3 separate regions of the Mus musculus genome follow, and regions 1 and 2 are each reported to be linked to region 3. The links are microRNA targets in miRTarBase. Many come from high-throughput screens and were not tested one by one. Region 3 holds a microRNA gene; each other region holds the end of a gene's coding sequence.
The links. The annotated mature microRNA mmu-miR-339-5p reads UCCCUGUCCUCCAGGAGCUCACG and lies in region 3 at 1,323-1,345, opposite strand. An mRNA with a match to its seed (bases 2 to 7 or 8) in the 3' UTR can be bound and repressed. Matches are read on the target gene's strand: a 7mer-m8 pairs with bases 2 to 8, a 7mer-A1 pairs with bases 2 to 7 and ends in A, and an 8mer does both.

Region 1 (4,063 bases), not on the chromosome of region 3:
CAAGGCTCAATATTTACTTTTGAGTCTGAACTTAAAAAGGGGGGGACCCATTCCCCATTAGGCCAGGATCTCATTGCTTTGTCAGGATCTTGTAGCTTTGTCAGGTTCTCATCAGGACAACAAGTGCAGGCTGCTCAGCAGGTAGTGGCTTCTTGCAGAAAGCTGCATAGGTAGCAGACAATAGACTTTACCTAGTTTGAAAGACGCCACCTTAGGTGCGCTAGGCTGTGGCAAAAACAAGGTCTGAATCAGCCCACTCAAGGTTGGGGGGAAGGGCACAGTTCCTCCCTTTTTATTTATTAAGATTTAGCTGGACTGCGGCATTAGATTTACTTATGTTTCATGGTCCTGCCTGGGAATTATGGTGGCTGGTGGCCGTGCCTTGCTTAGGACTGACTCTATTATACTCTCTCTTTCCCGTCCTGGAGGCCAGATGCAGCTTGTTTGTGTTTATTTGCACAAACATGGCCTTTTAGTGTTTATCATGAAAAAATATGGCTGCTGGGCACATGCCTCTGTCTTAGCTTGATAGGAGTCATAGCATCATCAGTGGCCTGTCTTATGGCTGCCGGCCCTCATAGCACGCCTTTTTTTCCCCATTCAGACCAAAGCCACAATATGCACTCAATGCATCTCTTCATAAATAACTGCCATGACTGGTCTTTGCTGAAGGTGAGCCTGTATGTAGGTAACCTATCTGCTTGAAATACAAAGTCAAAAGTTAAAAGCCACAGGATTAAGGTTGACTGTGGGGATGTCCCAGGTATGCAAATTAGCAACAATCAGATCCAAGGTCTGGCCTCCCACTGTGGGGGAGGTGTCTTTGAGAATGAACAGGAAAAAAAAAAAAACTGTGACTTCTCAGGTAATATTGGTAAGAACTGGGTAAGCTGGCGAATAAAGATTATTAGCTCTCTTCATAATTGGAATCTCCAATATTGGATTTATTTCTAGGCCACACCATGATTGAGTCAAAATAACTGGTCACATTAAAGGAAAGAGAACAGTCATTATAACTCCTCTCCTTTTGATCAATTTTTCTAAGTCAGTTTCCACAGTCTCTATGTTCTCTGTCCCACAAGATGTAGAAGCTTGAAGCAAGGCAGCCAAGGTTGTCTAATCTGGGACATAGGCAAGCAAAGGTGGGTCAAGAACATACACCCAATACATCTTTCCTGTTACCATTGTCAGGGCACTCAGCAAGCTCACAGGTCAGCATTATCCTTTTGTGTCAGCAACTGATCAAAGAAGAAATAGTAGGGGAGAATTTGGCTAGAAAGGAAAGTATAAGGTTTGTGTTGCTAGTGAGACACTCCAGTGAATATGTTTAATAAATACGGGGAAAAATCTAAGTACAATATTGGAAATATTGTCAAGAGAGAAATCTTTAGCCATATAGTAAAGAAATTGAGGCTCTATTTGAGTATATTTTTAACCCGAAAAGTGATGAACTATGTGTAACAATTTTCAGTATTTTTTAGGCGATAGACAATAACAAAAATCAATTGCAACAGCATTTTAAAATAATTTTATAAAAATATTGCATATAAATAGCATTTAATGCTGAAATTTCATAGGCATCTCTTATCTAAGCCACAGCAAGGTGTGTGTCTCCTCTCTGCAAATTTGAAGGTTAGCTTGACACTAACTTTTTGTGGCATTTTTCCTTGTTATGACACTGAGTGGTATATTAAAAGTTAATTAAATAAATTGAAGATGAGAACACAGAAAGGGTTTAGTTTTATTTTTAGATTATTAACTTCATTTACAATTTGAAGTCAATTCTGAGACTGGTGGATTAAAATTGGAGAAGAAAACCATGTGAGGCAAAGAATTTTAATAATCCTTCATCCAAGTCTATAGCACTTGGAAAATAGACAACTTAAAATTTTGGGGTTGGGGCAAATCTTAGCATCTTACAGGAAGTTTCCTGGTCTTTAACAAAAGACACCACAGTAAAATCGACTCTCTTAGCAGTCTGCTTAGCTGAATGGCTGACTAGTTAAGAGCAGATACTGAGTTAGTTTTCTTTCTCTGGTGGGAGAGTTACAAGAACATTTCCCAGTTGTGACATTTAGAGCATGTCCTACTTCAACCTAATTTTCTTACACACATTAATCTCAGTTGCTAAGATGCATTCTTATACCCAGCTCTGCTAACCACATGGCCTAATTTATGTCTGTGGTAAATTTCATAACTGGAGGAACATAGAAGATGATGGTAATATGTTTAAAGGTGCTGCTATATAATTACGAAAGAATGAATTTTATCTTGGCCATGATTCCAAATTGCTAAAATATGGATTTAAAAGAAAAAAAACCAACATTTTCATATTTTAATATTTAAGAATGTTAAAAGCCCAGTTAAAGTTCCATGCAGCGTAATTTAGGTCTTTATATAAGATAAGCTTGTATTTGTCATAATCGCCACTTATATCCTCATTATCCAAGAGTAAAACTCAGTTATTCTGTTGGTTAAAGATACTTTTATTCATTAAATAATATGTATGAACGAGTGGGCAACATGCAAAGGTCACACCCACGTGTGCCTTATTCTCTCCTGAACTGGGTAGATAATTCATAATGGGTTTGCATTATCCTTTCAATTAGCTTTAATAGATATATGATCTTCACCAGGCGTGGTGGCACACGCCTTTAGTCCCAGCACTTGGGAGGCAGAGGCAGGCAGATTTCTGAGTTCGAGGCCAGCCTGGTCTACAAAGTGAGTTCCAGGGCAGCCAGAGCTACACAGAGAAACCCTGTCTTGAAAAACCAAATATATATATATAAAATATCTTCATCATTAGGTTATGGTAAGCCGTCAAGTTAACAAAAGTGCTGACATACCCCATTCATTTGAAATGTTTACATTTATCTTCTAAAATAAGTGAAATAAATGTACTGACTTGGACAATAGGCATTAAGTATATGCGGCATCATTCTGTACACTTGGTCATCGCAGCAATTCACACAGCCACTATGTCCTTCCCACCCTTGCTGGGAGAATTAGACAGTAGATACTGATACCATCAACTGAGTGCCCTTACAAACAAGAAGTGTGATGTATACAGATAATTATATCAAATAAAAATGATAGAAAACATGAATAATCACACAGTGTTGCCTTTAAGCATAGGACACGGAGCATATGGCAACTATCTTTCCCGTCATAGCCTGAGTGTCCGATGCTTAAAGGCAACACTGTGTGATAGGGATGCTCAGAGGTACCATATTTAGACATAAAAAGGAAGAGTGTCAGCTAGAACAGGAACTCAAGCATCCTTGCTACATAGTTACTAAAGCACACTGTTTTTAATTAGCATCCTTGCTACATAGTTACTAAAGCACACTGTTTTTAATTATTCCCATTAGTTCTGCCCGCAACCCCTCTGAGGCCAGCCCACCTGCGCTGGTAGAAAGCTTTCTGTGAGACAATGGTCCCAAGGCAATCTTGCAAATGCAAACGCACAACAATATATTACTGTTTCAAGGCTTTTGTCATTCATAAGCATGAATAGTAAACTGAATAGCAAATCACAGAGTCATATTTCCATACGTTTTCAAAAACGACAAGCTGGACAAGAAATGGATCATTTGGTGCAACAGATTTTTTTTTTTCTAGAGAGGTTTGAGAGCAGTGCAGATACAGTTCGCTAGTATCTTTTCTTCTTTTTACACTTGCGGCACTTTTGGCTTCCTTCGTTTCCTCTCTTGTCTTCTGAGCTACTGTCGCTGTCGCTGTCTGGCCTTTGCCTCTTCCGTTTATTCCTAGGATACAGGTCAGGGTCGCTTGGTGGCTGGTGAGTCCACTCATAGGAGCTGGGTCCAGCCTCTGGGCCTGGAGAGTGATTTAAGGCGCAAGACCCAGGCACACTGTTGGGAAGTGGGGCTGGCATCTCACAGAAAGGCGGTTGCAGCACTGGACTGTGTGCGTACCATGGCTGTGAAGAGAAGACACTTGTGAACACACACTCACCATGCTGAGGCACCTCACATGTGCTTTCAGGCAGACGTGCCTAGCTGGTCTGGGTGTAACACAGCGAGTGGGCTGTACAGGGTTAGGG
Region 2 (4,063 bases), not on the chromosome of region 3:
CAGGACCTCCGAGTTCTCCACTGCACCTAACTGTTGTCATCTCTCCAGCCCGCAATCTTCTTTACATGGGCCTGGAGCCCACTTTGAGGCCTCCCTGTGCTGGGTTTCGGCATCTGCCACAGAGCACCAAACAGACACATTCCCTTTGGTTCCACACACTAACTGGTATACCCAGTCTATTATCTTGTCTGTATCTCTTTTGTCCCCATTTCCCTGCTCTGAACCATAAACGTTTCTCACTTTCTCAGTGTAATATCCTCCCTGTCCGGAGGAGCTCTAAGAGCTGGTTGGCCTCATGCCTCCTTGTTTATCCTTTTTTTTTTTTTTTTTTTTTTTGGTTTTTCGAGACAGGGTTTCTCTGTATAGCCCTGGCTGTACTGGAACTCACTCTGTAGTCCAGGCTGGCGCCTCGAACTCAGAAACCCACCTGCCTCTTCTTCCCAAGTGCTGGGATTAAAGGCGTGCGCCACCACACCCGGTTTAGGTTCCTTTTCTTTTGTTTACTGTAGCTCTAGACAAGAACACAGCCCAGGGCCGAAGCGCTGCAGAGGTGGCCCAGGATGTCTTTGATGCTGTGGGGAAGAAGAAAAAAGATGTTCTCCTGACAGACTTTGTGCCATCCATGGCTGTCTACATCAGAACTCTGGCTCCCGGGCTCTTCTTCAGAATCATGGCCTCTCGGGCCAGAAAAGAGCGGAAATCCAAGAGCTCCTGATGCTGGTAGGGCTGCTGGCTTGGGCAGCCTGATCAGACCGACTACCACACCTTCCTGGGTGGGGATTGCAGTGCACGGGATCCGCCGCTAAGACCTGGTGGAGGGCTACCTTGTATTTGTTTCCCAGGGAGTGATTAGCTCTTAAGGAGTGAAATATGGAGTTGTACAGGAACACTAAACGATGTAAAATAAATGACTGAAGAGTGGGTCAGAGTTCACAGTAGAAGAACCATGTACAGGTCTTCTGAGTCTCGGACGTCCCTGGTTTCGGAAGTGGTTCTGGAGGTTTGGGGACCAGGCATAATAGCACCAGCCCCAAATCTGGCTTTTTCTTTTGTTTTTCAAGACAGGGTTTCTCTGTGTTGCCCCAGCTATACTGGAACTCACTCTGTAGACCAAGCTGGCCTTAAACTCAAGAATCCACTTGCCTCTGTCCCCCAACTCCCAGGGCTGGGATTAAAGTTGTGTACCACCCCCATCCCTATTCATCCTACCTTCTCAAATCTGCTCTTAGTTTGGCTTATTGGAGGCCACTGGCCCAATTCTTATGGAAGAGGCCTGAGGGAGAAGGCTGGTAGTCTTAAGATGGTCCCAGGTCCTGCTCTTACTGTAGAAAGTGGGTGAGTGTGGAAGGATGTTTGGTGTATCCTATGTAGTGCCAACTTTAGCAATCAGGAAGAATTCCCCCGAGTCCTCTCCCCTGGTCCTGTTACTTTTCCAGTAGCCTCACCGGGTACCATTCCAAGCTGAGGTGAGCCTGTTGGAGAGCAGCCAACAAGGAGAGTTGCTGCTTGGCTCTGGTGTGGCATGGGAAGAAGGCACTCAGACTGCAGATGTCGGCTGGGGTTGCACTGCTCAGGCGGTGCCCCAATTCCAGGAAGAGCTAGGAAGAGACCTTGTGCTTACCTTTGACTTTTGGTTTCTCTGTGTAGCCCTGGCTGTCCTGGAGCTCCCTCTGTAGACCAGCCTGGCCTCAAACTCAAGAGATCTGCCTGCCTCTGCCTCCAGAGTGTGGGGGATTAAAGGCGTGCGCCACCACCATCAAGCCACCACTATCGCACCACCACCACCGTCTGGCCACCTCTGACTTATGAAAAAGGCATGAGGTGCAGGTCAACTTCATTTTCCAAGTTTAGAAGGAAATTTTTTCTGTTATAGAAACTAAAAGCTGAAACCATAGGAGGTGCACTGGAGATCTCCCCAGATATGAGTAAAACTCCCTTATAAAGCTGTCACGTTCACTTAGCTCTGGGCCTGATGAATTGCCTTTAAAATGAACAGATAAACATTGTGCGTTGAGCATTACCTCCTCCTCCCTGTCTGCCCTTTCTCTCTCCCATCTTAATCTCCTTCCATCCCCATCACTTCTATTTTATTGTCTATGTACCTCATTTTATGTGACTATATGAAACTTAGGAGCCAAAAATGAGAAAAACATGAGACACTTGCCTTCTGAGATTCGCTTAATTTAAGGTATTATCTCCAGTTGCACTTGTTTTTTCACAAATGTACAAAACTTTGTTAATTTTAATAACTGAAGAAAGTCAAAGCTGGGTAGTGGTGGCACACGCCTTTAATCCCAGCACTTGGGAGGCAGAGGCAGGCAGATTTCTGAGTTCGAGGCCAGCCTGGTCTACAGAGTGAGTTCCAGGACAGCCAGGGCTACCCAGAGAAACCCTGTCTCAAAAAACCAAAAAAAGGGAAGGAAGGAAGGGAGGAAGGAAGGAAGGAAGGAAGGAAGGCAGAGAGAGAGAGAGAGAGAGAGAGAGAGAGAGAGAGAGAGAAGAGGAAAGGGAAAGGGAAAGGAGTCAGTCCAGTGAGTGTGCTGTTTTGTTATCCCTATCTCTATTTCCTGTCTGGTGTTGGACACCTAGGCTGGTTGCATAGCTTAGCTATTGTGATTATTGCTGCAGCGCTCACGGATGAGCAGGTGTCTCAGATGGTCTGACTCGCACCCCTGGGTAGCACAGGTACACAGCAGGTCTCTTTCTATGAGAAACTTCCATACTGATTTCTGTACAAGTCACACTAGTTTAGATTCTTACACACAGCAGTGTGTAAGAGTTCCCTTTGCCCACATCCAGGCCAGCGTTTGCTGTTTTCTTAATGACTGACTTTGTAACTGAAGTGAGATGTCTGACCTGCATTGCTCTGATGCATAATGAGATGAACAGTTTTCATGTTTTGTAGCCATTTGTATTTATTTCATCTGTTATGGCTCACTTTTTAAAAGTTCGTTGTGTATTCTAGATATTAACCCTCTCAGCTCTGACAGTTTCTTTAATCCTGTTGGCTCTCTCCACCCAAGTCACGCTCCCTTTGCTGTACAGAGGCCTTTTAGCTTCATGAGGTCTGATTTATCCCTTGCTGGCCTTGTCACCTGAGCTGCAGGGGTCCTGTTCACAAAGTGCCTATTTCTGGAAATATTTTCCCTACTTTTCCGTAACAGGTTTGAGTTTCACATGAAGGTCTATTTGGAACTGATATATTTGTGTGCAGGGCAAGATAAAGATCTAGTTTCGTTCTTGACTAGGTGGGTGGCCAGGCTTCGCAGCTCCATTTGTGCATTTCTGGCATCTTTGTAGCTCCAGTGATACGAGGTCCTAGCTCAGTCTTTTATTTTGCCCCATTAGTCTACATCTGCTTAATGCTAATACTGAGCTGACTGCTATGACGACCATGACAAACTTCACGCTCTGTAAGGTGCTGACCTCCCACGTTTATTCCTTTTGTTCAAGATTACTTTGGCTGTCAAGGATCTTTTGCACTTCTGAAATTTGTTTTTCTAGTTTTGATTGATTGATTGTTTTTTTTTTTTCCAGACAGGGTTTCTCTCTGTAGCCCTGGCTGTCCTGGAACTCACTCTGTAGACCAGGCTGGCCTCGAACTCAGAAATTTATGTTATTTCTAAGAATGGTTTTTGAATTTTGATGCAATTACATTGAATCTGGTTATATCTGATATATATGGTTCTTCCCTCCCTCCCAGACTGTATCTCAGTCTGGCCTCAAAGTCACTCAGTAGTCAAGGATGGCCTCCCAAGTCCTAATCCTCCTGCCCCAGCCTCTCATAAAATGTTGGGGCTATGCATGTGCACCATGCGAGTTTATAGAGTGGTAAACAGACCTAGGGCCTCAGGAATATTAGGCAGTCCCAAACTGGGTTACCCATCCCAAGATTGCTATTTTCACAATATTAATTCTTCCAGCCCCTAAGAATGGAGGTCTTCCCATCTTCGAGTGTCTTTGGTGTCTTTCTTGAATGTTCTAAAGTTTTCTTTGTCAAGGTCTTTATCCCGTCCCCTTGCTGAGAATGTCAAGTTTTATTTTTCTGGTGAAGTCTAGTCAT
Region 3 (4,066 bases):
CTGGCCAGGGCATCACCTGTGCTGGGGCAGTATGACTGGGGATATTCTCTTAATAGGGATTTGTGCTGTCCTGGGGAGGCAGTCAATGCCCAGCGTTTTTGAGCATCCACTGGGCTCAAAAACATCTTGTTCAAACGTTCTTGGAATTGTGGAGGAGGTTGGTGAATATGTCCTGAGGATTGAAAGTCCAAGGCTAGCTTGAGCTTAGCAAGTCTGTCTCAAACATAAACAAAAACCCCTCAAAGGTTAGTTGTAGACCTTGGCAGTAGAGGCCCTGGTAGCCAGTGCCAGACACACAGCTCTGTAGGACCTTCTTTCTTGGAATGACTGAGTCAGGTGTAAGGATGAACACAGGTGAGGGTAGAAGGACCCTCTGTTGTCCCCACCCCATCATGTGACCAGAGCAGCTGTACTGGGGGCGCAGCTGAGTGGCAGGGAATCCAGTCATTTGACCCGCTTCACACAGGACAGAGTCCCAAGGGCACAGCAGATGGTCGATGGAGCCCAGCACCTGGCCTGTCTATCACATACCCAGGTGGTGCCTCCAAGGCTGGGGCATGGTCTCTGGTCCCTACCACCCCTATACCTGTTCCCCAGACATTGGGAATGGCCTACAAGTGACAGCGATGTTTGTGGGGGGAGACCACGAAGCCTGCTGAGGCTGACGAGCTGGGTGCCAAGGCCAGTGGACTCTGTTCTCATTCCCCAGCCCAGAATCAGCCCTCCTCCATTCAGTTGGAGCCAGCCCGAGTCCAGGGTCCCACAGAGGTGTTCGACCTTGAGAGCCCATTCCGGTTCACAGACCTCAGCAGACTGCTGCCCGGCTATGCACTCACTCGGTAGCAAGATTTCCAGAAGACAAAGCAAAAGCACAACAACATAATGAAGAGAGGGGAGAGAGTTTGTTTTAAAGGAAGCTTTTTATTTGGAGGTAATTACTGAAACACAGTGGATGTAGAAGTGACCCAGGGACACCAACTGCCAGGACATAGGTCACACGCAGTAGAATCAACTGGTGCTACAGAGGACACACACAGAGGGAGAGACCTGGAAGGCTCCCTCCTGGCTCCTCTCCCCTCCCCCTCAGTGTCTGCGTAGGTTAAGATGATTAGGACCCCAGAGGGGTCAGTGCCTTGCGTCACCGCACAGAGAAACCAGAGTCCCCTCCATCCACGGAACAACCTGCAGATCTGCACAATCGAGTTCAAGAAGGTACAGCATGAACAGCCAGCGACTGAGCACCCTGGTCTGCAGGCAAGGGTCTGTGGACAGTGCAGGGGTGGACACCGGCTCTGTCGCCGAGGCGCTCACAGGCAGGCATACGTGAGCTCCTGGAGGACAGGGATAGTGGCCACCCCGTCCAGCTCTGCACAGCTGTGCTCTCACCACCTTGGTGCCAAGGCAAGGGTCACACCCACCTAGGGATCCCCTTCTAGATATGACTTTTCAAATGCACAAAATGTCACTTAAGCCCCATGCTTGAAAAAGACAAAGATGACAGATGCGGCACCCTGCCTCCTCAGTGACCTGAATGGCGGAAGTGAGCAGCAGATCTGATGTATCCCTGAGAAACAGGAGACTGGGCCATCACCAGCTGCCACAGGACACACGAATCCCCAGAGGTGATGTTGTCACCGCCACCAAGCCCAGGCTCTGTCCAGGCCACAGGTCCTTCTGCAGTCACGGCAGAAACACCCTGTGTCACTTACTTGGGGGTTAAACACAGGCTAAAGCCTAAGTCTTGACCTCAGGCTGCCCAGAGAATTAACTTTCTCACAGACTCCAGCACAGACCACAAGGCCTCTAGGCTGTGAGTCCCCGACTATACATCGGTTTTCTTGGCTCTCTGGCCTCAGCTCACCTGACTCAGGCTGACTGGCCCCACCAACAAGGTTATGAAGGTCCCATGGGTTTTCTAGGTCTAACCTCTCCCACTGCTATCTCACATGTCCCCAGTTCCAACACAGGAGCAGACAGACCCCAGGAGCTTGAACAGGGTGCAGATTTCCTTGACTAGGCTGAGGGGCTGGCTCCAGAAGATAAAACTTCCGTCCCTTTGCCTGCAGATCACAGGAACTGGTCCCAGCAGCTCTGGCACAAGTTTAAGTGGGAAGCCCAACTCGGCCATCAGTGAAGCTCCTGGTCCAAGAGCAAGGACAGAGTCAGCCCCTGCCACCTGAATCACGGGCGTGAGGGCGACACACACAACAAGCTCCCACCTAGGTCTACTCAGAAATGGCAGAAAGCAGCCAACAGGCAGGGAAGAGGGCCCTGCAGCGGGGGAGATGGGGAGGTCTCTAATCAGACCCCTGCAGTAGGAGACCCTGAAGTGAAGGAGAGGGAGGGGCTTGCATCTATAACTGAGCATTCCCAGGCCAGGAAAAGCCTGCTGACACAAGAACCTGTGTACTGTGCAGAGCCTGCGCTGCGTCCCTGAGCCGAGCGAGACTCAGTCTCATTTCAGCTGCAGTCTGCCTCCTTCGCCCTAGCTGGAGGCCTTCTTTCTAGCCAGGGCCAGGTACCCACATCCCCTTCTCTAGAGCTTCCCGGCATGCCCACCACCCAGGGATGCTTGTTCTAGCCTGGTTTCCACGTGCCCCACTCCCAATTCTATTTGAGTGTGCCGGTAATCAAAATGCTTTTGATTTTGGCTTCCTCTGGTAGAGCAGCTGTGTTCACACATCCCAAACTGCCTAGTGGACCCCCAAGTGACATTAAGGTCATGGAAGCTTTCTTGCTGTGGCCAAGGAAAGGCCATTTCTCCTGCTACAACGGGCCCAGCAACCACCCTGCAAGCAAGGTCAGATGTCTCTGCTCACCTGGGTAAGTGACTCCCTAGCAATCCAAAACTCCCCACCCCCCTTTTTTTAAAACAGCAGAAATGTGAAGACAGCTCTGAGCCAACGAGGGCAGAGATGACCAGAACAAACACTGGGGCACAAACAACACTCGCAGGATCCTCTATAGTTCCTACTTTTTGTGCTGATCTTGCTATTATAATGCAGAGCGGATTTCTAAAGCTTGAAAAGCCCACTAAGCAAAGTGTGGGAGTCATCCAAGGTGCGGGTGCAAGCAGCTACAACTGGGCAGAAAATGGGGTCTCCCAGGGAAAAAAAAAAAACCAAACAAACAATTATGTACTGTCAAAGACTATCAGCCACCAGGCTTCCACATTAGCTGAGCAGCCTGCGATCCTATTTCTCCTGCGAGTGTCAGCCTGTGAGCACAGCCTGCCAAGTTCTCACCTCCAGACCCTAACTATACCACCTTCCCCACAGACTTTAAGGAGTTCCTGCAGGAAGGCTGACCTGGGAGCAATTGAGAAGGCCTGCAACAAAGTCTGCCTCTTGGGAGGTGGAAAAAAACAAAACAAAACACAAAAACCCAGGCTAGTGGAGCAGGCAAGAATGAAATCAACATTACACAGGGACTTCATTAAGTGCCATAAAGTTTGTTGTTATGCCCCTCCCACTGTTCACAAGCAGTTTTTTGGGTCAGGGCTCTGCACACACCGCGGACACCCAGGAGGGTCCTCCTGGGTGTCCATGTTAACCTGGCAAGTTAACCTGGCATGTTAACCTGGCAAGCGGTCTCAAAGCCTAAGACTCAAAGTCTAATAAGACTATGAGCGGGGCCCAGGCTATGGGCTCAGGGGTGGGAAGGCAGGCAGCGGTGCGAAGGGACACCTGGACGACCTCGCGTGGCTACAGAGCGAGGCCACCACCGATGCCTCGGGGTCACCTGGCGCCGCCCGCGCCTGGCCACGCACTGACCTCGCTCGTAGGCAGCGGGGAGTTGTTGGCGCGAACTGCCGAGACCCAGGACGCTTCACAGCAGCGAGTCGGGACTGGGGCGGAACCAGATCTAGCCGGCTGGACAGTGACGCAGGCGCGCCTGCGCCCTCGGCGTGTGGGCGTGGCCTCTGCCGGGACACGTGCCTGAACCAAGGGGGATTATTGTATGTAGGGGGCGTGGTTGGCCGCATCCTTGTTTAACCTAGGCTGTGGCTGGGGTGTGTGCTCTTGCCAAGCCACCCTCCAGCTTGCCGCGGACTTGTATTCCATAG

Region 1: the mRNA of Rbm11 is a reported target of mmu-miR-339-5p. Seed matches in the 3' UTR shown: 7mer-m8 at 2,757-2,763.
Region 2: the mRNA of Dhrs7b is a reported target of mmu-miR-339-5p. Seed matches in the 3' UTR shown: 7mer-m8 at 1,061-1,067.

The regions. Positions count from the first base shown.
Region 1 is chr16:75,600,490-75,604,552 of GRCm38, reverse strand. It overlaps Rbm11 (RNA binding motif protein 11), which reads right to left. Exons shown (of 5, transcript NM_198302.2): 5 at 1,728-3,940. The coding sequence ends at 3,653. Among named protein-coding and RNA genes, the nearest start is that of Rbm11, 9.6 kb to the right of the region's middle.
Region 2 is chr11:60,857,209-60,861,271 of GRCm38, forward strand. It overlaps Dhrs7b (dehydrogenase/reductase (SDR family) member 7B), which reads left to right. Exons shown (of 7, transcript NM_145428.2): 7 at 510-1,215. The coding sequence ends at 715. Among named protein-coding and RNA genes, the nearest start is that of Tmem11, 20 kb to the right of the region's middle.
Region 3 is chr5:139,368,386-139,372,451 of GRCm38, forward strand. It overlaps Mir339 (microRNA 339), which reads right to left and starts at 1,360; the gene lies at 1,265-1,360. All of the region lies in intron 2 of 3110082I17Rik (RIKEN cDNA 3110082I17 gene), which reads right to left.